4 linked regions of the Solanum lycopersicum genome follow. The protein of the gene in region 3 interacts with the protein of the main gene of each other region in a pairwise test. Links are inferred from orthologs where the notes say so. Each region holds a gene or a part of one and is shown on either strand. Other genes may lie near its edges.

Evidence for each region.
Region 1: the proteins of SPT (region 3) and IAA16 interact in binary tests that used the Arabidopsis thaliana proteins (3 or more experiments, as listed by UniProt). The link is inferred for Solanum lycopersicum from reciprocal best matches to the Arabidopsis thaliana genes SPT and IAA16.
Region 2: the proteins of SPT (region 3) and IAA19 interact in binary tests that used the Arabidopsis thaliana proteins (3 or more experiments, as listed by UniProt). The link is inferred for Solanum lycopersicum from reciprocal best matches to the Arabidopsis thaliana genes SPT and IAA19.
Region 4: the proteins of SPT (region 3) and transcription factor HEC2-like interact in binary tests that used the Arabidopsis thaliana proteins (3 or more experiments, as listed by UniProt). The link is inferred for Solanum lycopersicum from reciprocal best matches to the Arabidopsis thaliana genes SPT and HEC2.

Annotation. Positions count from the first base shown.
Region 1 is NC_090800.1:84,051,175-84,059,121, forward strand, and holds IAA16 (auxin-responsive protein IAA16), read left to right. Parts: upstream 1-3,120; 5' UTR 3,121-3,235; coding exon 3,236-3,525; intron 3,526-4,827; coding exon 4,828-5,057; intron 5,058-5,308; coding exon 5,309-5,444; intron 5,445-5,538; coding exon 5,539-5,600; intron 5,601-5,714; coding exon 5,715-5,752; 3' UTR 5,753-6,069; downstream 6,070-7,947. Other genes in the region: prefoldin subunit 4, read left to right, coding at 7,740-7,748, 7,836-7,947. UniProt on the Arabidopsis thaliana protein: Aux/IAA proteins are short-lived transcriptional factors that function as repressors of early auxin response genes at low auxin concentrations.
Region 2 is NC_090802.1:65,644,051-65,651,407, reverse strand, and holds IAA19 (IAA19), read right to left. Parts: upstream 3,645-7,357; 5' UTR 3,599-3,644; coding exon 3,223-3,598; intron 3,042-3,222; coding exon 2,948-3,041; intron 2,318-2,947; coding exon 2,209-2,317; 3' UTR 2,026-2,208; downstream 1-2,025. UniProt on the Arabidopsis thaliana protein: Aux/IAA proteins are short-lived transcriptional factors that function as repressors of early auxin response genes at low auxin concentrations.
Region 3 is NC_090801.1:70,521,223-70,529,386, reverse strand, and holds SPT (transcription factor SPATULA), read right to left. Parts: upstream 4,442-8,164; 5' UTR 4,312-4,441; coding exon 3,958-4,311; intron 3,824-3,957; coding exon 3,722-3,823; intron 3,639-3,721; coding exon 3,573-3,638; intron 3,449-3,572; coding exon 3,383-3,448; intron 3,106-3,382; coding exon 2,788-3,105; intron 2,677-2,787; coding exon 2,607-2,676; intron 2,517-2,606; coding exon 2,366-2,516; intron 2,259-2,365; coding exon 2,255-2,258; 3' UTR 2,249-2,254; coding exon of another isoform or gene 2,239-2,248; 3' UTR 1,926-2,238; downstream 1-1,925. Other genes in the region: nicotinate phosphoribosyltransferase 2, read right to left, coding at 1-141, 254-402. UniProt on the Arabidopsis thaliana protein: Transcription factor that plays a role in floral organogenesis. Promotes the growth of carpel margins and of pollen tract tissues derived from them.
Region 4 is NC_090803.1:65,277,807-65,284,982, reverse strand, and holds transcription factor HEC2-like, read right to left. Parts: upstream 3,361-7,176; 5' UTR 3,098-3,360; coding exon 3,001-3,097; intron 2,836-3,000; coding exon 2,189-2,835; 3' UTR 2,044-2,188; downstream 1-2,043.

The sequences.
Region 1 (7,947 bases), on a different chromosome or scaffold from region 3:
TCTATCACTACGACCCGACCCAGGATAGCTAGCTAAGGTTGTTTGAAAGAAAGATGGCATAAGAGATGGAGTTGGGTAAAGGTGAGGCTGGCGCACATGCAATTGAGCCTTTTCATTTCTTGTTTTTTTTCTTTTTTTGGGCCCTCTATTTATTCTCTATGCTTCAATAAAGCTTAGCACATGTTTTCTCCTTTGTCTTAAGACTTTCTTTAGAAAAATAAATTTTAAAATCCTAATTTGCCAGATATGTTTGTTTTTGGATGTTTTAGCCACAAGGGGTGGTAGGGGTGTGAAAATTTTAAAATAAAATTAGAATTAAAAAAAAGTGTGATTTAGAGTATCAATTTGAGAAGATGTATGTTGACTTTGGAATAGTAGTTAAAACTTTGGAGGAGTAATATCTTTAATACCTAATATCTTTGTCACTAAATTTTTTTTATTTTTCATTTACTATCTGATATGTATATTATCGTCTGAATTTGAGCTCTCATTTTGAAAAAAATATTTTCGATTAAATTTTTTTACATGAATCAAGATTTCTAATTAATTATCAAGAAAATAAATAACTAATCTAAGAAAAAGTTTCATTATGTCAACAATCCTTCCTCAACTAAATGGAGTTGACCTTAGATGCATCCACAAGAGAGTAGTACCAAGTATCATATATACAAATATTTTTTGGTGACATACAATTAGTATTGCTCTTTCTTAGATTTCATCATAAGACAAATTAATTAAGTACTAATTAAATACACCTTTTGCATGCACCAAACCCCATGACTTGTTGTTTACCTTAAATTGGATGTGAAAAAATTAAACCACGTGAATGTTCAAGTATTCTCTTATATAATAAGAGACACTTAGTGGTCAGAAACATCGACATTGATGTGCCTGCTTTAACGTCTTTTTGAAAAAAATAATATTAATATTTTTTTAAAAATTAATTAACGTATAATTTTTTTGAATTTATGAACTCTTTTTTAGCTAAGACTTTTATAATTCACATGCTTGTTTCAACGTATTTCGAAAAAAAATTGAACTTTTGTTTAACTTTAATTTAATTTGTGTATAATTATTTCAAAATTATAGAATTTTTTTCAGCTCTGACTTTTAGTTCTTCGTCGACGTGTCTGCTTCAACATGTTTTTGAAAATTAAAAATTTACTTCTTTTGTTATACATAATTTAATTTAGTGTATAATTTTTTCGAAATTATGAAATCCTTTATAATTATAACTTTTCAAATCGATGTTCCTCTTTCAGTGTGTTTCGAAAAAAAATCAAATAAATTATTTCTTTTGTTCTACTTTAATTTAATTAATGTGTAATTTTTCTCAAAATTATGAAATCCTTTTTAGCTGTGACTTTTAGTTTAAGTTCAAGATTTTACGCTGAAACACGCACGTCTTCGTCAACGTGCCTATTCAGCGTGTTTTAGAATTTCTTTTTAAAAAATAACTTTTTATTTATACTATAATTTAATTAGTTTATAATTTTTTTCGAAATTATGAAATCTGTTTAGCTATGATTTTTAGTTTTAAATTCTTATTCTTTAATTACTGCTTATTATTTTGAATGTCGGTAATATTTGTTATATCTTGTAACTATTTTGAGTAAAAAAAAATCACGATTGATGACAAAAAATACTTGTTATAGATATTTTAATGAACCTCTTCGCAATAAATTTGCTCAAACTAAAAATAATTAACCACTTGTATACTTAAAAATCATATTAAATTTATTTAACTATCTAAATAAAACATATATTTCATAAATAAAAATAAAATAATACTAAGATATTAGACCTGGCACCAATATCTAATATATATATATACACACACACATCATACTTAGACATTTACATTAAGCAATTTTATGAACGTTTTTTATTTGTCTCAGCAAAACTAAGATGCATGATTATGAGTTTATGACATGTATATAGAGTTAATAATGTGAAGATATATATCAAATATTAATTTTTTATATATTATATTTGAACTGAAATTGCAAGGTATATTTTGAAGATAGTAAACTATAAAATCAATTTCTAGCTTTGTGTTTAAGATATTCAAAATTTATAACACATAGAGAAAGAAAGTAAATTTAGCTAAGGGATAAAATCAAATATGAAGTATTTGCATAGTATATATATATTAATTAAGGGAAAAGATTCAAATATACAATCAAATTTTTAAATTTTTTTTTATATTATCCGTCAAAAATTTAGTTAATAAGGTTATTTTGTTAAAGAAAAGGCTTATTCATATCGTCCATGTCATTCTTTTAACTCCGATTTTATAAAACTATTTTTTACATTCTGAATAAGGTTTAACATTTTTCAACTGGAGTTTTTGAATCAAATGTACATCTTTTGCTTCTTTTTCATTGAAAACACATAAAATATATCGATAACTCTCAAATTTTCAACATCTTTAATTCTTTACGTAATCATCACAACTATCAACTATATGTGTTATCGTTCATTAAATTAGTGGACATAAGTTATGACCTAATTAATTCTTTAAGTTAATATATATTTGTTTATTTATCATTAGATTCGAGAATAATAAACAGAGCACAAGAATTAAGTCAGATAATTTAGGGAACATCTAGCTATAAAAGATAAAAGTTCCTTGGCTCTTTTCTTATCTTTTTGTTACTTTTTGCCTTTTTTTTTTCTTTTTAATTATTTTACCCTTTAATTAATTACTTTTTGTTTACTCATAAAAAAAAAGTTGTCATTGTTGTCTCCTTTAAAGTCTCATCATACTGTTTATCTCATAATTTTCAATTAATTATTACCAAAAAAAAAAGGAAAAAAACAACAATAAGTGGAGCCTAACAAACAAAAAGCAAACTCAAAAATAGTTGCCAACTTGCTTAATCCATTATTCCAACAACAAAACAATTTTATTTTATTTTTTAAAAATTAAAAAAATAAAAACCCTAATCAAAAACTATAACACGTCACTCATGACATAAACGATCCGACAACCCGAGCCCAACCCGTTTAATCATTCACTTCCACGTGGCAAAATCCTTGCCGTTTAATAAACACCTCAATTATCCAACACACTCTTCACATATTATTTCATATATAGCATGCTTTCTCATGCTTATTATACCCTTCTTCTTACACTTTCATATTCACATTAAAAATCTTTAAAAAAAAAGAAAGTATTTTTATCGTAATTCAGAAGAATTTTCACGTAAAATTTTTAATTCTCAAGAGAAGTATGACAAGCGTGTTGGGTGCGGAGTGTGACAAAATCCGATTGGATTATGAAGCGGAGACGGAGCTGAGGCTCGGATTGCCCGGAGCTAATGGGAATGAACTGGAATCGAGTAATAAGAACAATGGCAAAAGGGTCTTTTCAGAAACTGTTGATTTGAAATTAAACCTTTCTAATTCAAAGGATTCCACATTAATGGATAATATTAATATTAATCAAGTTGATAACATGAAGGAGAAGAAGAATAATATTGTTGTGCCAAGCTCTAATGATCCTGCTAAGCCACCAGCCAAGTAAGTTAATTACTTTTGTGTTATTCTTTAATCATGTTGATTAATGGTTCCAAGTAATTAATATTTGTTGTGGTAGTAATATCTTTATGGTGATGAAGTTTAAGTTTCTTGAGTATGCTTAGAACCAATAGTTAGACGGAGCTAGAAGCCTATATAAATTTGTCTCAATTTAATATAGTTTTCGTTAAAATAATAGATTTTAGTTAGAAATGCATTGAATATATATATAAATATTAGTATGTTTAGGTTCTATTAGTTAATAGTTGAAATAGTTATTTCAACACTCATAAAATTGAAATCTTGATTTTTTATGTAGTTCTTATATATTTATTGAACTCTTACAATATATATTGCAACATAAAAGGATTCATTTTCCTTTTTTTTTTTTTAAGTTTAATTGTCTCTTTTTATATATTTTTTGTTCTCATGCCAATTTTATTACTCCTTTTTTTTTTGTTGTAAATTACTTAATTTGCATTGTAGATCATGCTAATTGAATATATATCCTACTAATCTACGTTAGAGATCAAATATTGAATTAAGAAAGAATTTTGGGTATGCTACAATAATTTTTTTTTAATTAATAGTATAATGAAGGCGGAGCTAGACTTTTGAGTTAGAAAGATTTTTATAATTTTGTTCGAATTTTATTTTATATTTGTATTAAAATTTATGATATATATATAGGAAAAAATATTGTACTGTAACGTTGTTTCGTATAAGAGTATAATTGCTTTAAAAGAAATAATTCTTTTTTAAAAAAAATTATTTAAAATGGAAAAAAAAAAAATCTAAATGTTAGGTGTCAGTAGTGGTAACCTATCTTTTTGAGAATTTTGGAATTTAGGATATGGCTGTGGTTGTGTCTAGATGATGGCAGAAAAAACAAAACATTTGGAATCTTTTACTTTCATCACCCAACATTTTTAGTGGAAAACACATGGAACTTTTTATTTATTACTATAAACCTTTTTCAAAATGTAAATTAATTATTTTTATAAAAACAAATCTAGAGGTACTTTACAGAGTATTTCTTTGTTACCTTTTGGTGAGACAACGCATGTGTGCGCTTAAAAAGATAATTATAATTTCATAAATGCTACTCCTAGCTAAATACTTTATTATAAAAATTCTTACTTTATTAAGTTTTTTGAATTTTGGACTTTTACTTTTAAGATATTATTTATTTTATGAATTTTCAGTGCTAAATCATCATCATGAGTAAATAAATATGGGGATTTTTAATAATAATTAATTAAGTGCATGGGACTAATTAATTTTTTAATTATTTGCTTAACTTAGGGCACAAGTTGTGGGTTGGCCACCAGTGAGATCATTCAGGAAGAATGTAATGACTGTTCAGAAAAACACCACCGGCGCCGGCGAAATCTCCGGCACCGGCACCGGCGCAGCCTTTGTGAAAGTTAGTGTTGACGGTGCACCATACTTACGTAAAGTGGACTTGAAGATGTACAAAAGTTACCAACAACTCTCTGATGCACTTGGCAAAATGTTTAGCTCTTTTACTATTGGTAAATATTGATTCTTTCGTTTTAATTTATTTATTATATTATATTGTGAAGTTTTAACAAAATTTAATTTATTTGTCATATTATATTGTGAAGTTTTTAAAAAATAATATAGTAAATGAATATTATTATTATTGGGCATTTCATATCTTTGGTAGTGGGAAGGTTTTTGTCCATTAAAATTATGGAAGTGTATTATTTTTCTTTTCATTTTGTCTTGATGTGACAATTATTATTCCTTGAAATTTGTGTAGGAAATTGTGGGACTCAAGGATTTAAGGATTTCATGAATGAGAGCAAATTGATAGACCTCTTGAATGGTTCAGACTATGTACCAACTTATGAAGACAAAGATGGTGATTGGATGCTTGTTGGTGATGTACCTTGGGAGTAAGTTTCTAAATATGATAGTGATAAAATATTATATCTTTTATTTAGTTATATAAATTGAATGATTAATTTTATTTTCTTAATTTTATTATAGGATGTTTGTTGATTCATGCAAACGTTTACGGATAATGAAAGGATCAGAAGCTATTGGGCTAGGTAAATTAATACATTTTTTCTATTTTTTATCTCGTTACGTAAATATTAACTTTTTTCCTTAATTTTCTTTTTCAAATTATGTCACTAACATAAATATAATTAAACTTTATGCAGCACCAAGAGCAGTGGAGAAATGCAAGAACAGGAGTTAAACTTGATGTTCCAATTAATTGTTCATTGTTTTTTTTTTCCATGGTCAAATTATATATTGACCTTGGAGTTTCTAAATGTATTGTAATTTGAAGGGTTTATATATATAATATAAGGGGGAAAAAATTAAGAAAATGTTTATCCATGAGAAGAAAAAAAAAATATATATATATATATATAGATCTAAATAGTTGTCAAGTGTGTGACAGCCTCATATTGGTTGGAGCCCAATTTTGGGAATCTTTAGAATTTATATTATATTGTAAGTGTGGCCCTATGTGTAAGTGACACTTGAAATTATCTAATAAATTGAAGACAAGTAACATGGACATATTTAAAGTTATTGGGAGGCAAGGCCATGTGCTTTGCTAATGGGGACAAACTTATAGGGATCACAATTATTTCAATCACTAGTGTTTGTTGGGCATCAATTATTTATTTTGTGAGTGGCCAATTGGCCATACCCCATTATTTCAATTTGATACATTTTAGAGGTCTCATATGTCACTTCTTGTTATTTAGATGAATGCTCAAAATACATATTAAAAGAAATATAGAGATGAAAATGTGAAGGGTAGTTGCAATATTTTTCATTGGCTATGTTCACATTAATTCGAATCTATATTAAATTCATGAAATATATGTCAGATCTCGATCAATAACAACTATTTAATTATTATTTGTGATGATAACTTTGAGAGAAGGAGAGATAGTAATTGATGATGGCTTTTGAGGTGCAATGTATCAATACAGTGGAGTTATTATTATTGAGATATTTTAATTGATACCCTTTCATTTGAAAAATTAGGTTATACAAATAAGTAAACAAATATATACTTGTTGAATTTTTTAATATTTCTTTGTGAAAATATTATTACTTAGTTTTTGACATCTACAAAAGAGAAATTTCATTTCAGATAACCATATTTCTAGTAGACAACGTTTACCATGAGCTACAAGAGAAGTTAAGTTAGCAATTTTAAATATATCAAAAAGTAGCTAATTTAGGCTATGTTTTAAATAGAACCACTGAGTGGCTACCTTTTATAAGACTGTCTTAGAATTTCTGAAGCCCATTAATAGAAAAACTTTTTTAAAAGGCCCTGTCTAAGTAAGTTCATTGACCCATTGGGCTTGAGCAATGTGGTAAATCCATAGGATTTATTGATTAACAACTTGCCTTTTTTGATTAACAAATGCAAGTAAATTAGGTCTAATCACATTTCTTTTCTTTTTCCAATAAAATCCAACAATGTAAACAAGGAAGTAGTAATTTTATACAATAATAATTAAATTAAAGTTGTTTGCTTATATCTGGATCTTAAAATTTTGAGCATGACTATTTTGCCAACTCTCTTCAAAATCTGTGTCTCCAAAAAGAATGGTGATTTGAACATCTTATGTAACGCTTACCTTTGTTTATTACACAATAACTTAGTCTCTATTAATATTTTATGTTTATTGATGATAACAACACAATAAAATACAATGCAATGCAATATAATGTATTGTCCATAATACGTTAAGTTGATACACCAAAACAACTATGAAAATACTTATCTAATTTTAGTAAATTGGACACCCTTATTCAAACAACACACAACACTGTAACATATACACTTAATAATACACTCTTAAAATATAAAGAACACATATAGGTGTTTGCTTTTATTTAGCACTTAACAAAATCTAGGGATCGTTTGGTTGGAAGCGAGTTATTTACGATTAGTTATTCTGAGATAATGCATCTTATCATTTTGATATAAATGATGGGATAAATTTTTTCGAACATGATAACTAGGCAAGAATATATATTAGCTATCACTATTTATTTTTATTTATCACACCAAACCAAACGACCGACGAGGTGGGCACTAGCTAGTTCTTTTTGTTTAGGGGTTAAATTTTACTTGCGGAAAACATAAGGAGTTTTAAGTTTAAAGATTCTCACTTGTGCCCAACCCATCGTCTTCTCTTGTGCAATCGAAAATGCAGCAGGTGAGTCTACTAAACCCTAACTTATACCGTTTCACCATTGGAGCTTTCCTCTAAGAAATACTTATCATTGTTGATTCTGTGGAGAAGGCTGGAACTTCGGGGTCCGAAGTGGAGGTAACATGGGAGGATCAGCAGAATATTAACAAATTTGGCAGATTGAATAATCGTCTTCACGAACTCAATGATGAAATCAAGGCTG
Region 2 (7,357 bases), on a different chromosome or scaffold from region 3:
ATTTTTTAATTATTTTTGGTATTTTAATAAATTGAAGAGATAATAACACAACTACACTCTCAATTATTTTTAATTCTCTCTCATCGTAATTTTTAAAAGATAATATAATTAAAAAAATTTAAATGATATAACAAATCAATAAATACAATATTCGAAAAAGTGTAATGCATAAATTATTATAACTAATAATAAGAATAAACTAAAAACTAACTATGAATTATTCATTAAATTTTATAAAATAGACAAATATTATTAAAAATTTAAAATAATATAATAAACAATTATTATTAGACCAGATTAAACGCAGGAAGTATTTTTATGGACCAATGAAGTTGGTGAAGGAGAATATAATTGAAAAACGTAAAAGAAAATTAAAGGTAAAGTATTGAAATGATTTGATGCTGAAAAAGTAAACATGAAAACAATTGATGTATACGTTTTGCGTAGATATAAAATGTGTAATAAGTGAATTGTCTGGTGGTCATTTGTCAATTAATAAATAATAATATCTGAGAAGGTATATGTACTCTCAAAATCCGACATATTCCACGCTTCTCATTTATTTGAACATATTATAGATCGAATCTCATGGTAAAAAAAAATTATTGTATTTACTTACCAACTATCTGTAATAACTTCAGAGAGATAAATTTCACGAAGGGTGTTTAAGTGTTAAAAGTGAACATACTTTTAAAAAAGTAAAAAGAGAAGTTGTTAACAGTAAAATTTAAATACATGGGTATTTTAAGTACGCGACTCAATACACTATGCTGCATTATATTGTTATTTTAAGGATATTCAAAATAAAATATTTAGCCACTTTATTTATTACTTTACTTATATATACAATATAATTTTTGAAGAAGGGCGTCCAACAGAATGGCTATGCAACTGGAGCCACATATTTTTTAGGAGGAAAAATTAATTATATCTAGATAAAAACATTAAGTATAATCCTTAAATGCTATATTATTTTACTTTTTTATATATATATGTTACTATATTTACGTGTAGATTTTTAACACATAAAAATGTAATGAATTTAATAATAATGTGATATTGGATTATTTAAAAGATGTTATTCCCGAACATCAACGAAAACAATGCCTTTTGTCGGACGTAGCTCTACATGCTGATTATGGGCCAATATTTCAGTTTAGTTAGTTGATATATTAATATAAAAATAAATTATGTATCGGTTGAAGATTCTGTATCTACCAAATTAATACACTCTTTGGACTTTATAAAATATAGTGTTCCTATTTATTTTTGGAGCTCAATTAATTCAGATTCATATAGGTAAAATATCTTTTATTATATAATTTATATAAAAATGATTTCAGTTTCATAACTCAAATTTGAAATGTTTCTCTAAAAATAAATGAATATCTACCTTTTACGTGATTCATAGGTGATCTCTATGGTTAATTCTTATGAAGTTTTTTTTAGAATAATTACATATTCGCAACACATGATTTGATTGATAATTAATTTTTTTTTTTTGGATATTAATTTCGGTGGAAGTAAGAATTAGTCCGTGTGCATGTATTTCCACACTGAATACTGTGATATGTAGTGAAACAAAAGTATATTCATATGGTATATCACTGCTTTATTATCCCCCCAATAAAAATAAAAATTAAGGTTCATCAGTATTTAATGATCCAAGAAAAAAATACATTGGACTTATAAGTGTGTTGGAGTGATACAGGAATCTTTCCATTTTTACATAAGTATGCATGAATATGTATAGCTAATTAGTGTATGCTAATTGTCTACTCGATATTATATTGTTCACCTTAATCGAGTTATAGATATTTGATAAATCCAACTTCAACATGGTGAACAGATAAGGAAAAAACTAGCTAGAAAAAATAAATTTTTTTAAAAAAGATAAGGAAAATAGAAATACAAATAATGTAAAAAAAGAACTTTTTAGTAACGTGGACAATTGATATGAAATTGAAACAAAGGGAAAGTTAGATGGTAGCCACAATTTCAGCACAACATGTTGGTTACACATATAGCCTTATTATACATACGAAAATTGTCATTTAAGAGCAAATAAGGTACTGATTACTACAATAATTAAGCTAATTAAGAGGAAATCAAATCAGAAATTGATTTTAAGTCTAGGGTGTCTTATCACACCTAAGATTACAATTACAATTATATATTAATGTAAAAATATAGCTTGAATCATCCACTCTATTTCTCTTGAGACATTCCCTTGAGAAAGTCTCTTGCTCCAAGCCCTATCACTTTTGCCTCTGATCTCTTCATGATCCTTAGCCTTTTGCATGATTCACTGAACATTCTGCTAAATCAAATTCCAATTAATACGACTTCTTTTGATTTTTTCTAACACTACAAAATGTTTGATGAGTAACCGATCAAGGTTGTTATAGTGTGGTAGGTAGTAATTTATTCTTAACCAAGAGGTTTCAGATTTTAGTTGTCTTGGGTATAAAGCTGCCTTTGTTAGGAAGTTTTAACCTTCCTGGCACGAATCCCTATTTAATCGGGTTTCAATGTTCTAATTTATCGGCATAATGATGTTTTGATCTATGCCTTAAAAAGGACAAAATTGATCCATCAGTGAATATATGCTAGTTTAAATCACCTAAATTTGACTAAATTGGTCAATTTATGTACTATAAGCTAAATTTTACACCCCTTTTAACACATTAATTAGTTTAGTTTTACAATTAATTAAAGAAGATTCAATTAGGGATAAGGTGCCCGAGGGGCAGATCGCGTTAAAAAATTACTAATATATAAAATTTGAACTTTTTTTAACATAAGATTAGAGGTCGACTGAATTTAAAATTCAGTCGACAATTTCAAAATTCAAATCTCAAGTATTATATTAAATATGTTCCTAAATTAATAAAAATTCTGAATCTGTCGTCTCGAATAGAACATAAAGAGAAAGTGAAATACTTACATCCATGGAACATCGCCGACAAGCATCCAATCTCCATCTTTGTCTTCATAGATTGGAACGAACTCTGACTTATCTGCATCCTCCAATGCTTCTCCTGTTGACACATTTAAATACAAATTTAACATATATAACACTAGCAATTAAATTGCTTATATTTATGAAAAAGATGCTCGATTTATGTTTATTAGTATAGTACAGTAACCGTACATTTCAATAATAATAATTTCACTTTGCCTAAATAAATGCATGTTAATATAGAAAACTGAAATACTAACCAATTCCATAGCAATCAAAGAGTTTTTCAAGAGCCATAACAAGTTGATCATAACCCTTATGAGTACTCAAATCAACTTTCCTCAAAAACGGTGCTCCATCCATGCTAACTTTGACGTACATTTTATTATTGGATTCAGCTTCACGTCCGTTAAAACTGTTCTTTTTCCGGTAAGCACACACAGGAGGCCAACCAACAACTTCGTTCTTGTATTGACACTTGTAATTATTAGCCTCAACGTTGTTGTTGTTGTTGCTGCTGCTGCTGTTTCGATCACTAGTAGTAATTTCCGAATAAACCCTTTTCTTTTCATTTTTCTCCAATATTCCTCCTGGAAGTCCCAATCTTAGCTCAGTAATTTCCAATTCTGTTGCCATTTCGTATTATGTTTTGAAGACTGGAAAATTAATATATTGTTGTTTTGATGGAAAAAATGAGTGTGTGTGTTTATGAGTATATATAGGAAATAAATAATTGAGAAGACAATGGCAGGTAAACTAAACTTAATGGTCGGTCACATGAGATACAAAGGTAGGGAAAATATATATGTTAGGTATGTAATTTAAAACATTAATAATTTGTGGAGATTTACTTGTGACCGTTTGATATGGTTAACAAAAGACATGCCATGTGATGAAGTGTTCCCAATATGTTTGTAGACACATTAATATACGCGTGCAAATAAAGGTACATATATACATGTAATTATTTCGAGTTGGGATAAAATTTTTGCAAGTACGGATAAGGTATGTGTATATATTAATCTCTTCAGATTTTATATACGGGTTTATATTGGGTAACTTATGGATTGGCCGAATCAAGTTTGGTTTAAAAGCTATTTACGTGATTGACAATAGAATCTTGTTTAATAAGTGGAACGCAATAACTGTCCGCTATCAGGTTGGACAGTCAGGGTAGGAGAAGGGCAATGACTCATTCTTATAACCAGCGTTTTTAAGAACAAGAAGTCGGGCGGAAGGGGGAAAAGCCCTACGTTCCTGGTTCTCTTTATAGTTGAATCCAAGTCTCTTGCCACCTAAAACTCTGGCAAGAAAGCACTGCTTTACCTTTGATCCTATGTACCTTCTCTCTCATTAATTTTAAGAAATTTATTCGTACAAATTATAAATTTTGAAGTCAATAACTTGAAAAAAAACTAGAATTTCATATTCATAAGTACTTTAAATTATGATTTCGTCTCTAGCTAAACAAATCTTTTAATTGGACAAGAGCCTATTTGGGACTAAAATCAAACAGGAGGGCATAATTATTCTATTTCACTAGTTAAGGGGCAAATGTGACCTTTTGTCAAAACTAATACAGTTAAATTTAAGTTAAATTAAGTGTTATGTTTATTTCAAAAATTTTACATATATAGTCATGTATTTGAATTAGGATTGACAATTTCGAAACCAATGAATACACATATTTCTCTTGAAAAAAAATGATAGTTTACGAAAAAGAATACCATAATTTATTTATTTTTTTGTCTCCGTTATAATTTTCTAATACACGGACAATTAATTTTTTGAGGAACATATCCAATTATAATAGGGTATATGGATATTTGATTCTTGCAGAGAAGGCAAATTTCTGCGAGATAATATTATTATTTACACATATAATAAGTAGCATGTTATTAAAGGAATATAATTTCTCCAATTATAGACAATCAGTTTATACTACATTATAACAAGAAGATACCACGATGAGAATATTTTGCAATATTGGGACATAGAAATCTTACTTTGAATCCCTTAGATTAGAAATTAATACATAAATATAACTATTGTCTAGTCAATTATTTACAAATTATAGTTGGTCTTCTATCAAATATATAAATTCAACATTTTAATTAAGTAGACATTCTCTTGCATGTGCACGTATCTTATAATAATTGATACGACCGATTATTATTCAACTACAATATCATGTAATATTAACTAACAAATTTTACTTAATTCACATTGTTTGCAACAAATTTTAAACATATAGATAAATCACACAAATAAAATCAAAAGAAACATAATTTTATTAATCTAGATAGATTGCGGGTACAATTGTGTTAATCCCTTGATTCTACTCTCTTAAGATTTATTCATGATTCGAGGACCATTAGTAACATATTTCTCGAACTATGATGATTTAAATTATGACCTCTTTTTATGAACAAACTATCAATTTGTGGAGTATTCGAAATCTTGATCTCTTTATGAAATTTTCGAGATGTCTTCTAAGGGAATTTAGTACACTTTATATAGGAATAAACTAGGGTTTAGAGTTGAGTAGCCTCTAAGAATAGCAACAACGTAATGGAGTCAGTCACTCAATATAGATTGATCCGAAATCTGATTCAAATCCAATATAGTACCTATGGGTACATAAGAAATGTATTGAATCGATTCTTTTTAATGAATAGATCCGATCGCAACTTCGAATATGGAATTCAAAGGGATCAAATAGGAAAGGATACTCTGAATCATAGAACTATAATGAAATATACGATCAACCAATATTTATCGAATTTGAAAAAGAGTCAGAAGAAATGGTTCGAGCCTCTTATTTTGATTTCTCGAACCGAGAGATCCATGAATCGGGATCTTGAGTTGAACACAATTTATAGAGTCCTAACTCGAATTAAACGCATCTCACAAAATTTTAATGTCTACACACAATCATTTTTGACAATTACCAATATACTCTGATTCATCTATAAATCATTTTTATCGATAAGGAAGAAATTATTATGTATGGATCGATGAACAAAACAATAAGACTTAGTTGCATTGTCCTTAGGATAATATATGTTACTCTCCAACCGAGCATATGTTTCCTTAGAATTAGACAAGGAAATGAAACTACAAAGATGACACCCCACACGTGATAAAGAGGTTTGTCCCCAATTTATTACTACTTTAGACAAACGTACCCACTAATCTATCTTATGTGCCCTTGTTACACTCATAAATAAAACTATTTCCCCACTCAAATGAAACATAAAATAGCAAAAACACAGCCTTAACTAGACTCATATTGGGTAATATACAGCTAGCTACCTACCTCTCTCTTTCCAATTTCATCTCACACTTTATTTTGAGTAATATATAGTCTATTATTATATTGTCATATGAAATTAATAAGGTCCATGGGTGCAATGGTTATTCGTACAAGTATGGGGTTAATTACCGTGGACGTTTTACTTAGGATAGTTGAAGCGTGTAAAAAATCTTAAGAGAGCTTAAAAAATTACTTTATTGATCTATTTTTAATTTGTTTGACTTGATTCAAAATATAGATGGTCAAACTAACTTATGTTTAATGTGTAGTCTGACATACATTAATCTTTATATATTTTAAAACTATGTTTAAACGTACAAAAAAATTAAGATGATATTTATATTAACATAACTTAGAATTCAATCCCAATTTAAATAGAGAAGATGATAAAACTATGTATTTATAATAAAGGCATTGTCTCACGCATAGTAAGAAGATCACCAACATAAAGAGTTACTCGCTCCTTCTGAAATTATTTGTCATAGTTTTTATTTTTAGAGTTAAATTATAAAAATCTTTGACTAATATTTTAAGATGTATTTTTTCATCATATTAATATGTAAAAAATTGTAATTTATATTACTTTTCATTTAGTTTTATAATATCTAATTTTTTTTGGTTTAAAATATCGAATTAATGTGATCTAATTTATCTTGGAAAATTAGTCAAATTAACTTTTGATAAGCGCAACATGACAAACAATTTCGAACGAAGGGAGTAGTATTTTTACACACTTAATATTGTTTAATAACCTTTTTCAAAAGTACTAAAATTCACATTTAACAATTCAAAAAATATCAAAATAATTTGACAAAAGAAAATATTCTCCCATCGAAATAGGAATCAGGAGCTGCTCAAGCATACTAGTGGCCTAAAGCAAAAATCAAACGGGGCCTTAAACTTGAACTGTAAATAACTTTTATATAACTGATTTCTTCTGGTTTTCAATTGATTATATAGCCATTCTTATTTGAAATTATTTTTCATGAGATATAGTATTCTAAATATGTCAAATTTCTTCTAATAATCTTTTAATTTTTCATGAAATGTTTACTTTTTCTACGAATAATATTCAATAT
Region 3 (8,164 bases):
GACGATGGCAACGATGACCTGATGAAAGCTATCTCATCCTCAGTAAATTTAAAATTAGCAATAAACTTTATGCACTCTTCTAAACCAGCAAATATTGTATATTCACCACCAAACGGATTCCTCCGAAAATACAAGTCAAACCTGAGCAAACAATCAAATTAATCCGCTTGAAGTAAACATCATGATCAGAACATCAAATGAAACTAACTAGAGTGAAAATGAAGAGGAATAAAAATGGAAATTGAATACTTACACAGCTCGTTCATTGTGTTTTCCAGCTTTCCAGTAAGCATAGGCCATAGTAAACTGATAGAGATCTGTTAAAATAGGCGTAACCATAGGATTGGTCGGTCCATCAATATTGGCACTCTCAGGCCCGCCATTAGGTATAGTTTCAGCCATAAATCCTAGGGTTAGCAGCAATTCGGTTTTACAGAACAGAGAGAATATGTTGAGACCGTTACAAACGAAGTTGTTAAGAATATATAGAGCGCCAAGGATTAGATCGGACTTAATAAAGCTTCATTCATTGCTTCTTTTTAACTTTAGAGAATACTGAAAAGGCGCACTCCACTTAACGCCTGGCGGCTTGGATTGATGTTTGGGTTACTTTGGACTCCAAAGTATTCAACACTTTTGTCAAAGAATTGGACTGTCTTGTCTTGTCTAGTCTAGTCCACACAACAACTTGGTCCTCCCTCCACTTTATTTTTCTCCACAATTTAACTTTGAATTTAGGTGATCAATTAATTTAAAATTAATTATGAAAATTCTCTCTTTTATTTTACTTTGTTAGTATTTGAAATGTACCTACTTGAAAAAAATATAATATTATTGAAAGAAAATCTATATATATATATATTTGTAGTATTTTAATTAATTTGAAATTAAAATGATTCATTATTATTTTTATTATAAAGATTATAATTTAGTCATACAAATCTGCTACACCATATATAGAAATTTCATTGTTACTTTTCTTGTCCCCTAATATCATAAATTTCTTTTGCATAATGTAGACCAATAAATGTCCTATTTTTTTTTTCATTCATCACAAAAAAGGAAATAGGGGGACTTGTGGGCATTATTCTTCCAATTACAAAGTTGGAATACATCAAGGCCACTACTTAAGTTTCTTTTTGTCTATTCCCTTGGCTAGTGTCAACATTAAGCCAACAAGGCCTTTCCATGCGTCGAAAAATAATAGGGAAATGAAATGAGACAAAATTAAAATTTAAATTCGTATGGTTAATAGTAATCGATGGAAAGGAAGTCAAATGGTTTAACGCATTTGCTACTTTTATTATTACTTGCTTAGCTAGTGTTTGTACATGATATGTTTTCTATAAATAATTTTTTTTTTTGGTAGAGTTCTATTAAGAGAGTTTAAATTAAGTATAAATTGTCTCGAGACCTTCCCAATTGGCACGTTCAAAGTATATTTCCTATTCTTTGTGATTCAAACTAAGTGATTAGACTAGAATTTTTCTTCCTCTTTCAAGTCAATCGACAACAGTTTTCTTCCAATCGCAGTCCATTCTTTACGGAATAAGAATAGAATTTTGGTTCTTCAACTTTTTTTAATTAACACGTACTTGGAATTTTTCTGAAGTTTTGAGTGAGTATCAAACAAAACTTGAAAATATCCGCAATTTATGGCCAAAGGTTATCTAGATAATCTGGCGATGTTTGGCATTTACTTAGGTTTCAGTGTTCATTATTTACACGCCAATTAAAAAAGACAAACAACGTGAAATTATTTAAGGTGAATACATCCGCATATTCATCGAGTGAAAAATTTTCAAACAATTGAACAAGATAGCTTGAATAATGGTTTTATCAGGTAAACATTTCTCCTACATGGCATAAATGAAATTATTGAATGAAAGAAACGTTAGCAACTGTGAAGTAAATTATCATAGCAATGATCCAATTAATTTAAGGTACCTGTTAGAATCCATATAATGCTAATCTTTAGTGTCTCTGCTAGCAACCATACCATCTTCAGATTAGTTGGACACATATGAGATAATAGTAATCACGAAACATATCCTATGCCTAGTAGTAATTTTCGTATTTCATAACAAGATAGAAACTAGTCCAATCTTTTCATTTATATTCCATTCATTCATTACAGTGGCTAGTGAGCCCAAAAGTTAACAACATTAAACGTCCTAAGCAGCAAAATGCATGTCTCATTACTTCAACAAAATCCAGCAAGGCGATGCAGGCCAAAATTCAGAAGTTGCTGCATTCACCTTAAGATAATGTCAACATAAGTACTTCCAAAGTGACTAACAATAGAACAAGGACTAAAAAAAATCATTGCTATGTAAGAGCACGGGTATAATGTGAGTTCACTTACCTATACAGTTGTTGGGAAAGAAGTTGGTCACAATCCAGATTGGTTTCATTCACAGCACCAAACTGATATCGAAGCAAGCAGGCCTCCCGAGTGCTTCTCTTCAGGTTAGATGCATCCGTATCTAGGGGAACTGAGAATGCCAGATTTGATCCTATAATACAATGAAATATAAAATGGTAAAGAGACCTGGATACAAGGCAAAAGTTGTCAACTAGGCAAGGATATCAAGCAAATAATCTACCAGTTGATGCAGTTTTGGTCGTTAGCTCATTCATACCATATAAAGGTAAGTCATCCTCCCTCCAAATTTCCTTCGCAAAACAGAATGTGAATGTCAAATGGTTAAATAAATTGATTCCTTAATCTGCAATTCTGCATCCTCATAAAAAATGGCATTCCAATAGGTTTTGTATCCAACATACCTTGCTGGTAGATCTTGAGAGCTGAAAGGGATCAAGGTGAATATTCATCGATGACTCAAGCTCAAACGCACTGTCTGACCGGTTTATATTTGACATAGTTATCGGTGGTGTTACCTTAGTTTCTGTACAATTTTCAGTTGGGTTGAAAATAGCATTTAACGAGGCGTCTTGGTTAACTTGTAGATTCCCAGCCACTTTGGCATTTGTGAATGCATTCCCCTCGCACAAACCTACTTTTTGATGGGAGAGTTGATTTTGTTGTAGCATTCGTGGCAGGCCAAGAGGATACATGTTTAACCCGTTTCTCATTGTCAACATCTACAGATCAAAGTACATTCTTATGCTATAAATCATATAACTTGATCGAATCAACTAGTGTTAAATGAACAGATAACCAGCTAGAACCAATCTAGGAAATATACTGAATTGAGTCAAATAACACTACATGTTCTTTGCAACTATCTGAACTTTAAATTTCACTAAAGTTGGGCCAATCAACACAATATTACATTATATTATCCTCTAAAAAAATATCTTTATCTCCCCATCATACCAAACAAATTACATGCAGCAAATTTAAACAGAAGCAGCAAACCTGTACTTGGAGCTGAAGCTGCTTAAGATACTCAATGGCTTCATCAAGCATTGAAGCCTTGTCAGTCTGTCCAGAAATCCATCAGAAAATAATAAAATCAAAAATCTTTTAAGCTTTATATTGCTAAAAGTTTATGTTATTTACTTATTTCAAGACTCGATTCAAAATTGCTAGACATGCAACTCCTCACCTTATTTGAATTTGGAATAAGTTTTTGCAATGCTTTCATCTTCTCATTAATCCTGCTTCTTCTCCTCTGTAAATCATATTCAAGATTTAAACCCGTGGAATCATCGATTCAGACAATAATGAACTTAATTAACAAAAAAATAAACAAACCTTTTCAGACAAATTGTGCACTTCAGCTGCTCTGCTTCTCTTGGAAGTGTTACGAGATGGCGGTTGAACTGAAGCTTCCGCCCCCAAATCCTCTGTACCATCCTACATATTAAAAAAATCATCACAAAATATATATATATATATATACCAGGATTAAGTAAAAAAGTCAAATTCGGAAATAAAAACTTAAATACACTAATTAATCAAAACGAATTAAGTAGAAAATGTAGAAATACCTCACTTTCACATTCATACTCATCCGGATCGTAATCTATGGTCCCAACAGATGAGGAAGAAACAGTAGTTGCACCATTACAAACCCCATAGGAAGACGAGAAAATGCCGCAAGCTGATGAATTCATCATGGATGACAAATTACCCTGTTGATTATTATTAGGCATAAGATGAGGTAATGATGAGGAATATTGCATTTCATTACTCTTCAGGGCCATAAAATTAGATGAAGATGAAGACGAAGACGAAGAAGGAAGTAGAATATGACGAAGAAACACAGAAATATCATCTGGTTCAGGATCAGGATCAGTCAAAGAAAAATTAGCATTGTGATAATAAACATTGTTGTTGGCCATTATAGTCCAGCAAAATCAAGTTCAGTGTTGAGCAGATCAAGTTAATTTTGTCTACGTTCACACTGTTTTACATGTAGGAGTAGGTGACATTTTTTGGGTATATGCTCCGAACGAGTGTGTATTTATTAGCCAACCATACCATATAGAGCAGAGTGGGCGGATTCGCATTAAAGTGAATAAACCAATTGAATTAACAGAGTAGGGGTAAACTAGCAAGTTGATTAGACTTTGACTGGTCTACTTTTGGTTCTGAGAACTGATGAATTAGGGAAGTTGGTAAACTGCTAAAACCAAATCAAAGAAATCGACAGGGTTAATAGTACAATTGTTACTTCCGTTGTATCAATTTAAAATCCATAGGTCTTTCACAAATTTTTAATTAAAATCATAAAATTCAAAAATATTTTTATCGAATTAAATTAAGTTCAATTTGATGGAGTGGTTTTATATAGTGATAGTGTCAGGTGAAGCCAACTTTCTGGCACACGTGAAGCACAATTGTAGGCATGCTCTTCAACTAGCTCAGTTCCAGAGAGAGTATATACGTTACACTTTAATCGAACACTGTTCCATTTCAGTATCCATTTGTGCTCTCCTTTTTACTTTTCTTTATGTTTTCTAAAGTATTTTTGAAAACACGATTGCTGCTTACCCCACTTCTGGTCCGAAATAACTACTGTACCAACTTATGATTTTAGAATATACCAAAGTTATTTAGTCTAATTTAATTTTAAAGTTATTTAAGTTGACTCTCCATAGATAAAAAGTGGCACGATAAGACCAGAGTGTATGTATAAGGTTTTAGATATATTTTTTTTAAAAAATTTAATATAACATTAATCTTTAGATCTATCGTAAAGTTTATCAATTATTGAAGCAACTATGATAAATTTTAAAATTGGGACATAAGAAATGTAATATTCAATAAAGAAAAAAGTAGAACTCCTTTTGAAGTTCAGAGGAAAAGATTGAATGTTCATTGACATTTTGTTTTGACACATCACTTTTTAAAACTAATGAGTTTTATAATAAAATCAATAAGTTGGGCAACATTTAGAAAATTTATAGACAACAATCTCGTTAGAATAAAGCCTTATTCAAGATAATGCTTCCTATTAAAAAAAATATATTTAAAACTTCTGATTAAGGAAGAAAAGTACAATCGTACTCCTAAGACAGATTAATAACCATAGTTTTCAGCAAGGCCAAACAACTCCATTCCCTTGTTTCAATTGATTGATAGGCTTTATAGTCGCAGGCTATGTGTGTAGGGAGTTAATTTGATAAAGAAAACACGATGTCCTGCATTTTCTTACTTACCAATTCAATGTAATGTGAAAAATAGCAGCAGAAAATCATTTGATTCCTCAATTATAATGACTAGTCGCTTTCCAAAACAGAGTTAGCTAATCAAATACCTAAGTGTAGTACTTTCTCTTCATTTTTTAATCTTTTGAAAACTTTATTGATACAACTATGTTACTCCAAATGGTCAAATGAATATCATTTGTCCAAAAATTATATGTACATAATATATTTTTATCATAAATTATTTTTAGCATGTGAGTAAATAGTTTTAATCATTAACGTATTTGCATATTTTTGTATATATATATATATATATATAGATAAATAGATAGATAATGCTATATAACCAGAATTTGACTAGAAATTTCAAAAGTGTAAAATGTTGTTATTTACTGTAAAATAATCTGATACTTTTTTATTTTTAAATTTATGGTATTAGAGTTAAAAAGAATGAAAATATTCAAAAAGATAAAAATATCATAGTAAAAAATATGTTATTTTACTAATTTGACCAAATAATCAAATTTTCTAGCCAAAAGATTTCTCTCTCTCTCTCTCTATATATATATTCTCTATACTTGTTGATATTGATGTTACTCTCTCTGTCTCAATTTATATGAAACTTTTCATTTTTTTGAAGAGAAACAATTTCGATTTGATCGAAAATTTGCACATTAAATTTTTAATTTTTGTAACTTATGTTACTACCTCCGTCCCATTTTATATGTCTCCTTTCGAATTTCAAGAGTTAAACAAGTTTATTTTTTACCGTAAATTTTCCAAATATTTTATAAACATTTTGAGTAATCAATTCCGGTGATTCGTAGTACTTTCTACGTAATTTACAAATACATAAATTTCATTTTTTTAAAAAATCAAAAATTTCATACACAAATTTTCTATCAAAGTTAAGTTGTTTGACTCTCAAAACAGAAAAGGTATTATATGAATTGGAACAGATGGAGTACTCTATTTATCTCAATTGTTGTGACATTTTTCCTTTTTTTCGAGAATCAAACAACTTAAATTTGAATGAAAATTTATATATAAATTTTTTTAATTTTTTTTAAAAATAAAATTTATATATTTATAAATTACATAAAAAAATATAAGTCATAATATTAAAAGTTAAATTTTTTAAAGATAAGATAAAATTATTTTAATCTAATAAATATCGTGACAAAGAAAATAATTATTAATACTAGTCCTATGACAAAAGCTTTTGTATTTTCCAGTTTAGAACCCAAGATTCGTAAATAGTAGTAGCTGTCTCCTCACATATATACCAACAATGTCTTTTCTTGCAAAATAGAACACGTGGCTACACACAATTGGACAAGAAGATCACGTATCCAAAAGTAGATATCTATTGTACATGCAGGACCACTGCAAGTATGAAAAGTAGGCATCATCAACCGTCACACATCTGATTTCCGCACACGCCAAGCAAATAGCCTTTCGTGATTTCCCGAGGCTATCTATATTCCGCCCTCCCTCGTTTCATATTAATTGATCATCAACTTGGTCCTTTTTACATAACACTCTCGGCCGCCCAAGAGGACTGACTATCTTTCTCTTCGCACTAAGTAAATATTTGGCCATGTATGATGTATTTTTTTTGGATTTTATGATTTAATTGAGTAAAATTTTGATACTAAATTTGTTATATTTTTTAAATATTTTAAATTCTTAATTATTGTAATTTATAATATTTTTTACATAGTGTATAAATATATATATTTCATCCAAAAAAATTGAAGATTTCATGTGCAAATTCTCGATCAAACTTAAATTGTTTGATTCTCAAAAAACGAAAAGTATTACATAAATTGAAATAGAGGGAATATAATATATTAGTGTTTGAATGTGTAATTTTATGCTGATTTCGTCTCATTAGATGTTGATTCCATATTCCTCAAAAACCATGATATAGAAATTTCATATTATGATTTGAGATTTTTTTTAATACGAAAATGTATTCACAAGTTTATATTTTGTTAAAACACACCCCATATTTATATCTGTTAACCATTTATTTTATATGTAAATAAATTTTATAGTGACATAATTACTTTTTAAAATTTATTATTCTAATTGATATAGTATTTATTATTTTCACCAATATGTAGTCCTTTTAACTCACATCAACTGATTGTTGAGTAATACTTTAACACTAGCATGCTGCAATTTATCTTCAATTTTTTTTATTGAATTAAGTTTGATAAATTAAAGTTAGATAGAACAATTACTTAAGTGGAAACCAAATAGCAATACAATATTTTTATGTGATTTTGTAATTATTTGTTCATGTGATAAGATTGAATAATCAATTGGAGTTATTTTAATAGTTATACAACTTATGAAATTCCTATGTTTATGAGAAAATATACAACACCAAAATTTCATATCACATGTCCAAACAAAACTTTAGTTTCATCTCATAATTTCATATTATGATACCATATCGCATGACCAAACGAGCTATAAAAATAATGTTTCATATTATAATTTTTCTTGTATTATTTTTGTTCATTTTTAAAGTGTT
Region 4 (7,176 bases), on a different chromosome or scaffold from region 3:
CTACTATCTGATGATGAAAATATCACCATACATTAAATCAATATTTTAATTAGGATGCAGAGATACGTTGAAGTGGCGATGATAAAATAAGTTGTTAGTAATATGTTAAATTATGTGATTATCAGTTGAAATCTAAATGTTTAATTAGTTGTTTGAAGGTTATTTTTATTATTTATTTAGGTCTTATCCTAATATAATGGAGAATTTTTGTCAATTATTTGTGCTCGTTGCATCATGAAATTGGCCATGTTTGAAGCATTACTTTAACCGCAAGGAGGTCAATGAAAAGCTATATATACTCAGAAGATCGTGATAATACGAGTAGCGTTTGATGAAAAGGAAGTTCTTGGGCCTCATTATAAGGCTTGAACGATTCTTCTTTCTTTATATATGAGTTCTACGTCACTATATCATGTATTCATGTGTAGAGAAAATTAACAATATGGTATTTACTAGTTAGTTTTTAACTTAAAAGTGATATTTGAGTTAGACTACAAGAGAGTTAGATATTGAACCTTGCAATTTCTATTGTAAATGATAAAACATGCTACTATATATTAGCATTCATTATCACAGAAGTGTTTTTCTATAAAAAATTAAATTATTATTCATTAATTAGTGAATTATATTTCTTTATCAATGAAATATTCAGGATATGTTATCTTTCAATTTTTTTGGCAGAGGCACGCGGGGTTGAAAAATATCAAGTTGACTTTTATCATATAGTAAATTTTACAGCTTTGAGTTTGCCATACTATATACATTGAAATTTGCAAGAAGAGAAAACTACAAAATTGTGAATCAAGTCTATAACGTCATGTTCTTTACATATTACGTGAATAAATCTTTTTTTTTTCACAAACAGTGTGAAAATTGTGTTATACAGAGAATTTCAGTAGCTCTATTTAAACTTTTACTTTATTAAAAATGATTACAAAGTGGATAATCAAACGATCCTCGCATAGTTTACTTGTGAAAAAAATGGCCAATAGTTTCAATTCTGTTGCTTTAGCTTTGTATTCGTCAAGAAAGTAAACATATGATGGTCCAAGGCAAATAATAGTCCCAACAATTGTTGCATTTTCAAAAATATGGGAACCAAACGACTCCTACAATGTTAAATATGGGAACCAAACGACCCCTACAATATGTTCAAAATGGGAACCAAAAGACCCCTAATAAAACTGGGGGTATTTTCAAACAGGGCCCTACAAGTTGTCTTTCCAAGAGGCATGACTTGCTATTTGACCTTGAGTGTATATGTACAACCAAGTTCTAAATGGTCCATTTTCTCATCTTTAATTGCACATAGACCTACGTCGAACGGTTCAGCGTATAAAGTATTTTGTATTTATATAGCAATATAATTATGATGTAAATAGACTATTTTAATATAAATCATTAGTAATTACTTTTTCCGATTCAAGTTCATAAGTTATAGATTACACGGCCATAATTTTATCATTGCTTCAAGAATAAATAGACAAGAAATAACAAAGAAAACAAAATCTTATAACATATCTAGTTCTCAAGATTTTTCGTTGAGATGTTGCAAAGATAATTGGCACATGGCTATTGTCATTGTCAACCCACAAAGATAATTTCAGTTTAATTCTTTATATACATCTTAATAAGAGGGAGTAAGAGCGTCAAAAATATAATTAAGTAAATAAAAATATGTTTTTGTAACTGTAGAAATTTTAAATGAGAATCACTTACAATTTAAAATGAGTAAATAAATATTTGGATTCAAGTCTAACTCCCCCTCATTATCAATTTTTAAAAAACTTTTTGGATTCCGAAAGAAAAATAATTAAGGAAACATGTATTCTCCTCTAAAATTACTTGTTTAGAGCTTGATTAATCTGAATTATTGTCATACAATCCTGTTTTAACAGTAAAATCCCTTTCTTTAAAAAATGACTATATTTTAGACACTCAAATACAAAAAATATCTAATAATGAGTGAGAGATACTTACCAGCTCACCATAACCGTTCATGATAGATGGTTAGATAATAATTATACATAGAAAAAGAGTGTGTACATGAAACATAAAATTTTATTAACAGATCAATAGGGGTCTCTATATACCATGGTTATAATATATAGTATAAATTATTCTTCTACCCATGCATGGTTTCTAATTTACAACCCCACAAATTTCTTCAATTTATACTACTGGTTAATTAAACATCTGCATATTGTTGAATATTTTGATGATGATAATTTTTTGTACTGACAGGCAAATTATAGTTCCCACTCAAAGACATTGGTACAGGGAATCCTAATCCTGCAGCTGCAGCAGTAAGAGCAGTACCATTAGCTGGCCTAGTTGCACCTGCCCTTTCCAGTGATTGCACCTGATTTTTCAAAAATTTCACATAATGTATTGCTTCATCTAACATTGATGCAGTATCCATTTTTGTTCCTCCTGGTACTAATCTCTGTAATATTCTTATCCTTTCACTTATCCTTTCTCTCCTGTGTCGCGCCGCAACGCTCTGTGGATCCGTTGATATCTTAACGTTCCTTCTCTTTGGTGGTTTCACTGATTCAGGATCGATGTTAATCGGCTGCATTGCTGCAATTCTGAATATCATCTCCCTCATTGCTGCCATATTGCTTCGATTCATCGAAGTAAATCCACCCGAATTAGGTATAAAATTAGGTGAATTTTGATGAATTGGAGGTGAGTTTGTGAATGAAATAGTAGAAGGCATGTTGAGAAAATTAGGTGAATTTTGATCCATTTGTTGGAAATTGTAGCTGTTGTTGCTGCTGTTGCAACTTCCTTGTGGACTAAACTCCATCATTGGTAATTCAGAACAATTACCTGTCGTGACATAATATAATTAATCAGTTATCAAAATATTGTAGATGTAATTTTTTATATCAGGTGAAATAACAATTATATTTTTGACAAGCCTCAACAAGTGTTTGTTTAATATTTATTATGTATATTTTAGATGAGATAGTCACACAATTCAACGTTACTGACCAGTAGAAAACTCAGGAAATTTCTCCAATTGCATCATGAGCATCATTTCCATTTGATCTTCAGAAGTTGCTGATGATTTAAGCATATCAATATCCATGGCTAGTACTTTTTTTTTTTTTTTTGCAAGTCCAAATCACTCTCTTTTAAAAAAAGTGAGTAATAATTATGGGTTATTGAAGCAGAGGAATGAGAAAGAAGAAAGAGTGAAGTGAGAGTTTTATCAGAATATTGCAGTGAAAATGGTAGTACTACTATTGGTAGTATGTTTTTTGATATAATAGCTAATAGAGTTGGGGGAGAAGTGAAGAAATTGAAAGGGGAATAAAATAGTGTGATATTGGAAACAGATCATCTAGGCTCAAGTGGGAATTTAAGGCTATATATAACAAATTGTTTTTTATTTTATTATATACATATATTTGATATTTTCTTTTATATATAATATATATTTCTGCTATCGCAGATAAATAATTCAGTAAGAATATAAATATAATACCATTACCAACTTTTATTATGTCATCAAAGTTGGTAAACTTTTTTCCTTTCCTTTTCAATGTTTTTATTTATATAAATATATACAAAAAAATAATATTCTTATGCAGGTTTACAGCTTAGCTCTGTTTTCAACAAATTCATAATTTTGTTTACAATCATTACTCATTTTTCTTTGTTTACCATTGTGCGCTAGCGCATCGTTTAAGGTTCCAAACTTTTTATTTATAATTATTTTATATTCAGAATTTATATATATATATATATATATATATATATATATATATATATATATATTAGTTTATTAGTATACATTGCCCAATATAATATTTCATTTAAGAAGTTAATTATTATTAACCAAGTATTTCATTAACAATAAGCAAGCCGGTACTACTACCCTATCTACATGTTGCATATATGTTATAATTTTAGCTTCAATTTTATAGTTATTATTAAAATTTATTTTTTTATGATATTACATCCATTAACTTTGACCTTTTGAAACATTCTTATATATCATTCTTAGTAATTTATAAACTCAAAACTTTACTTCAGATTCTATTCGACTTTATTCATATGACTCGAACTCTAAATTTCTCATCATATTTTCTCGATAATGTTCGTGTTGCTTGTTCTTCTATGTTACTAGTAATATATTAGCTTGAAAATAATTAACCTTTCTAGGTGCATATTTAATTTGTTTGACTAATTTAAAAGATATTATTATTTTTTATTGTATTTATATTGTGAGAAGGTAAAGATGAGTGGGCTAGGTAGGTAGGCCCACCATTTGGAGGGTTTAGATCTACCAACTGTAGCAGTGATATCATAAATGTTTTTGATGCAGGTGCATGAAACTATATACTATACTGATATTATTATTTAAATAAAAGTAAATAAATGTATCACTCTAACTTTGGCTTAAATTTTCACTTTGTTATAAAGAAGACCTTAGCTAATACCCCACATACACATGACACAAGTCAGAGGTCTCACCCCCCGCCCCCCCCCCCCCCCCCAATCCTCAATGAAATAAGTCAACTCACCGCCGGCTAGTGAAGTCGGCGACAAACTTTATTTGTTATCATGTTAAATTATGTTTTAGGTTTAATTCATACGAGTCATATCTCAAAAACTAGCTCAAAGGAAGGAGGATTGTCTAAATATTATAAAGACTTCACTCGTCTCATTAACCATCGATATGTTTGTTATTTTTTAACAGTTATAATATTATGTATAAGTTATGTTATGTGTATATCGAAATTAAAATTGAAATTCTGAATCCGTCTTTGATATATGACGTGAAAATAAGTTTTGGAAGAGGTAGAGAGGTGGTTGTATTATTACTATTGGGGTTATTACTGGTATTATGATAAGACTGCAACTTAAGTTTTTGAGTCTTTGTTAGGGTGGGGGTACGGGGGTTGGAACGCATTTCGAGGTGGATCAGCTTGTGCAGTGGAGTACTGTTTCATGTGCTGTTTTTATGCTAACGAACTTACCTGTGGTGAACTGCTTCTTCAATTAATTTCTTCTGCCATTAACATTTAACACCTCTACTAATAAATTACCCACGGTTAATTCCACTTTTCTACCTCACAAACTTAAATATTTACTCTTTCAAGTTAATAACTACCTACACCATAATAACATTTTATGTTCATAATATAGTCGTTTCAAGAGTTTTATTTTGAAAAGAGTATTATTTCAATAAATTTTATGTTTTTTATATTAGTTTCTAACAAGTAGGCAACATAAATAGATCATGGTATAATTTTCTTTGTCCTCTAATTTATTGTTATCAAGATTCGTAATTGTTCATTCTCATGTAAGCTTGTTATTTTGATCGCAATATGTCAATTTATTAATGGTCCAAGTGTATGTTCTAGAAATGTCTAAAAGTTTAGTCGTATATATCAACATGTCAAATTGTTTAGTCATACTCTCTCTGTCTAATAATAATTGTTCAATATACTAAAAAATAGTTATCTAACAATACTTTTCTAATTTAGAAAGTTAAAAAATATTTTAAAGCATTAAATTTAATAAAATTAAAGGATAATACAGTAATACCCGTATTATTTATTATTTCTTAAAAAATATATCAAATCAATAGAAGACAATTATTATTGAAGATTACTAAATAATTCACTCCACAGTTAATAAATGTAAGTTAAATTCTCAATATGAAATAATCCCCCCAAAAAAAAATTAAGAAAAAAGAACGCAGCTAGAGATTTTAAGATAGTGAGGTTGATGGCGACTTTAACGGGCAGATACAAATTATATGTGTTTTTAAAAAATAATTCTAAGGAAAAGACCTTATCCCAAACGACAAGTGCTAATACAGTAAAGGACATGTCACTTTCATATTTAATCAGAAATCACATATTCAAACTCGAGATGCTAAAAATAATGTATTAATAACATTTCTTAGATTATGAATTTAATCGGTCCTGAAAAATATAAAGAACATGCACCTATTTAGTTATCACTCAACCAACAAATTACATGTATATACTCTACTGAATTAAATACTCAAAAGCATTTAAAATGGATTTATCTTTATACCAAATAAAATTAAATAGGAACTTCTTATGCATGTTATACACTGCATGGATATTAATTCAACGCAACAAATTAATGGAAAGCAGCTATATATGACTAATTTAATTAACCCTAGATTCCCGTTGAATATTTTGTACGTCTTACGAAATTATTGTTTTAAAATTTGCATTCAGCATCTTCAGGTTGACAATTATAATCGTTTTCATTTATACGTAATTTTTTATGTTGTGCAATTATATTTTTCAAAACATAGTGTTCAAGAAAAAGTTGTAAAAATATCATCGAAAGGAAATATTTGTTCTTTATATATTAGTTGATTAATTTAGATTTTCATCGCATAGAGTCAGGTGAGGAGAAAGGCTCTTTGTCAATAGAGATCTTTCATTTATAAGGTCAGAATTCAAAATGTTTATTTAAGCGTATAAAAATTACTTATATAAAAAAAAAAAAAAAAGAAGAAGAATTAACCTAAATAGCGATCAAACTCTCATTTCAAACTATTTATGGAAGTTCTAATCAAGTAATATCAACCTATACTATCACAATTTAAACACACAAACTTTAATAAATAAATTCTTTATAGCTTCTACCAAAATTTGAAGTGGCAAAACTAGAAGAAGCTAGAAGATATATTTGGCTTATCATCAAGATGACAGTTGTAGTTATGCAGTAGATATGGTACAAGTAAAATATGAAAGGGAAGGAACAAACAGAAAATAAACATGTGTGTTTTATTCAAGATAACTCTTAAAACCTATCTAGTTTTTAAACTAATTATTTTTTTTGATGATTTTTAACATAAGTGTCACTGATGGCTAGGGAGTGGGGGTGGGTGGGGGACTTTTTTTTTTTTTTTTAAATAAATTAATTTATTTCTTTTGAAGCATTAAAAATGGATAGAATAAGATATTATATTTTATAAAAGGGGAAAAAAAAAAAGAGACATGTTCTCTGCAAGAAGGGGTTCGATTGGATAAAAAGAAGCCAAAAATAGGCAGAATTTGTTGTTGGGTGGGGATGAATTTTTTTACTTTGTATTATCACCGTTGCAATCACCTTATCTTTTGTTCCCTTATTCCTATTTTTATATTCTTACTTTATATTTAAATAATATTT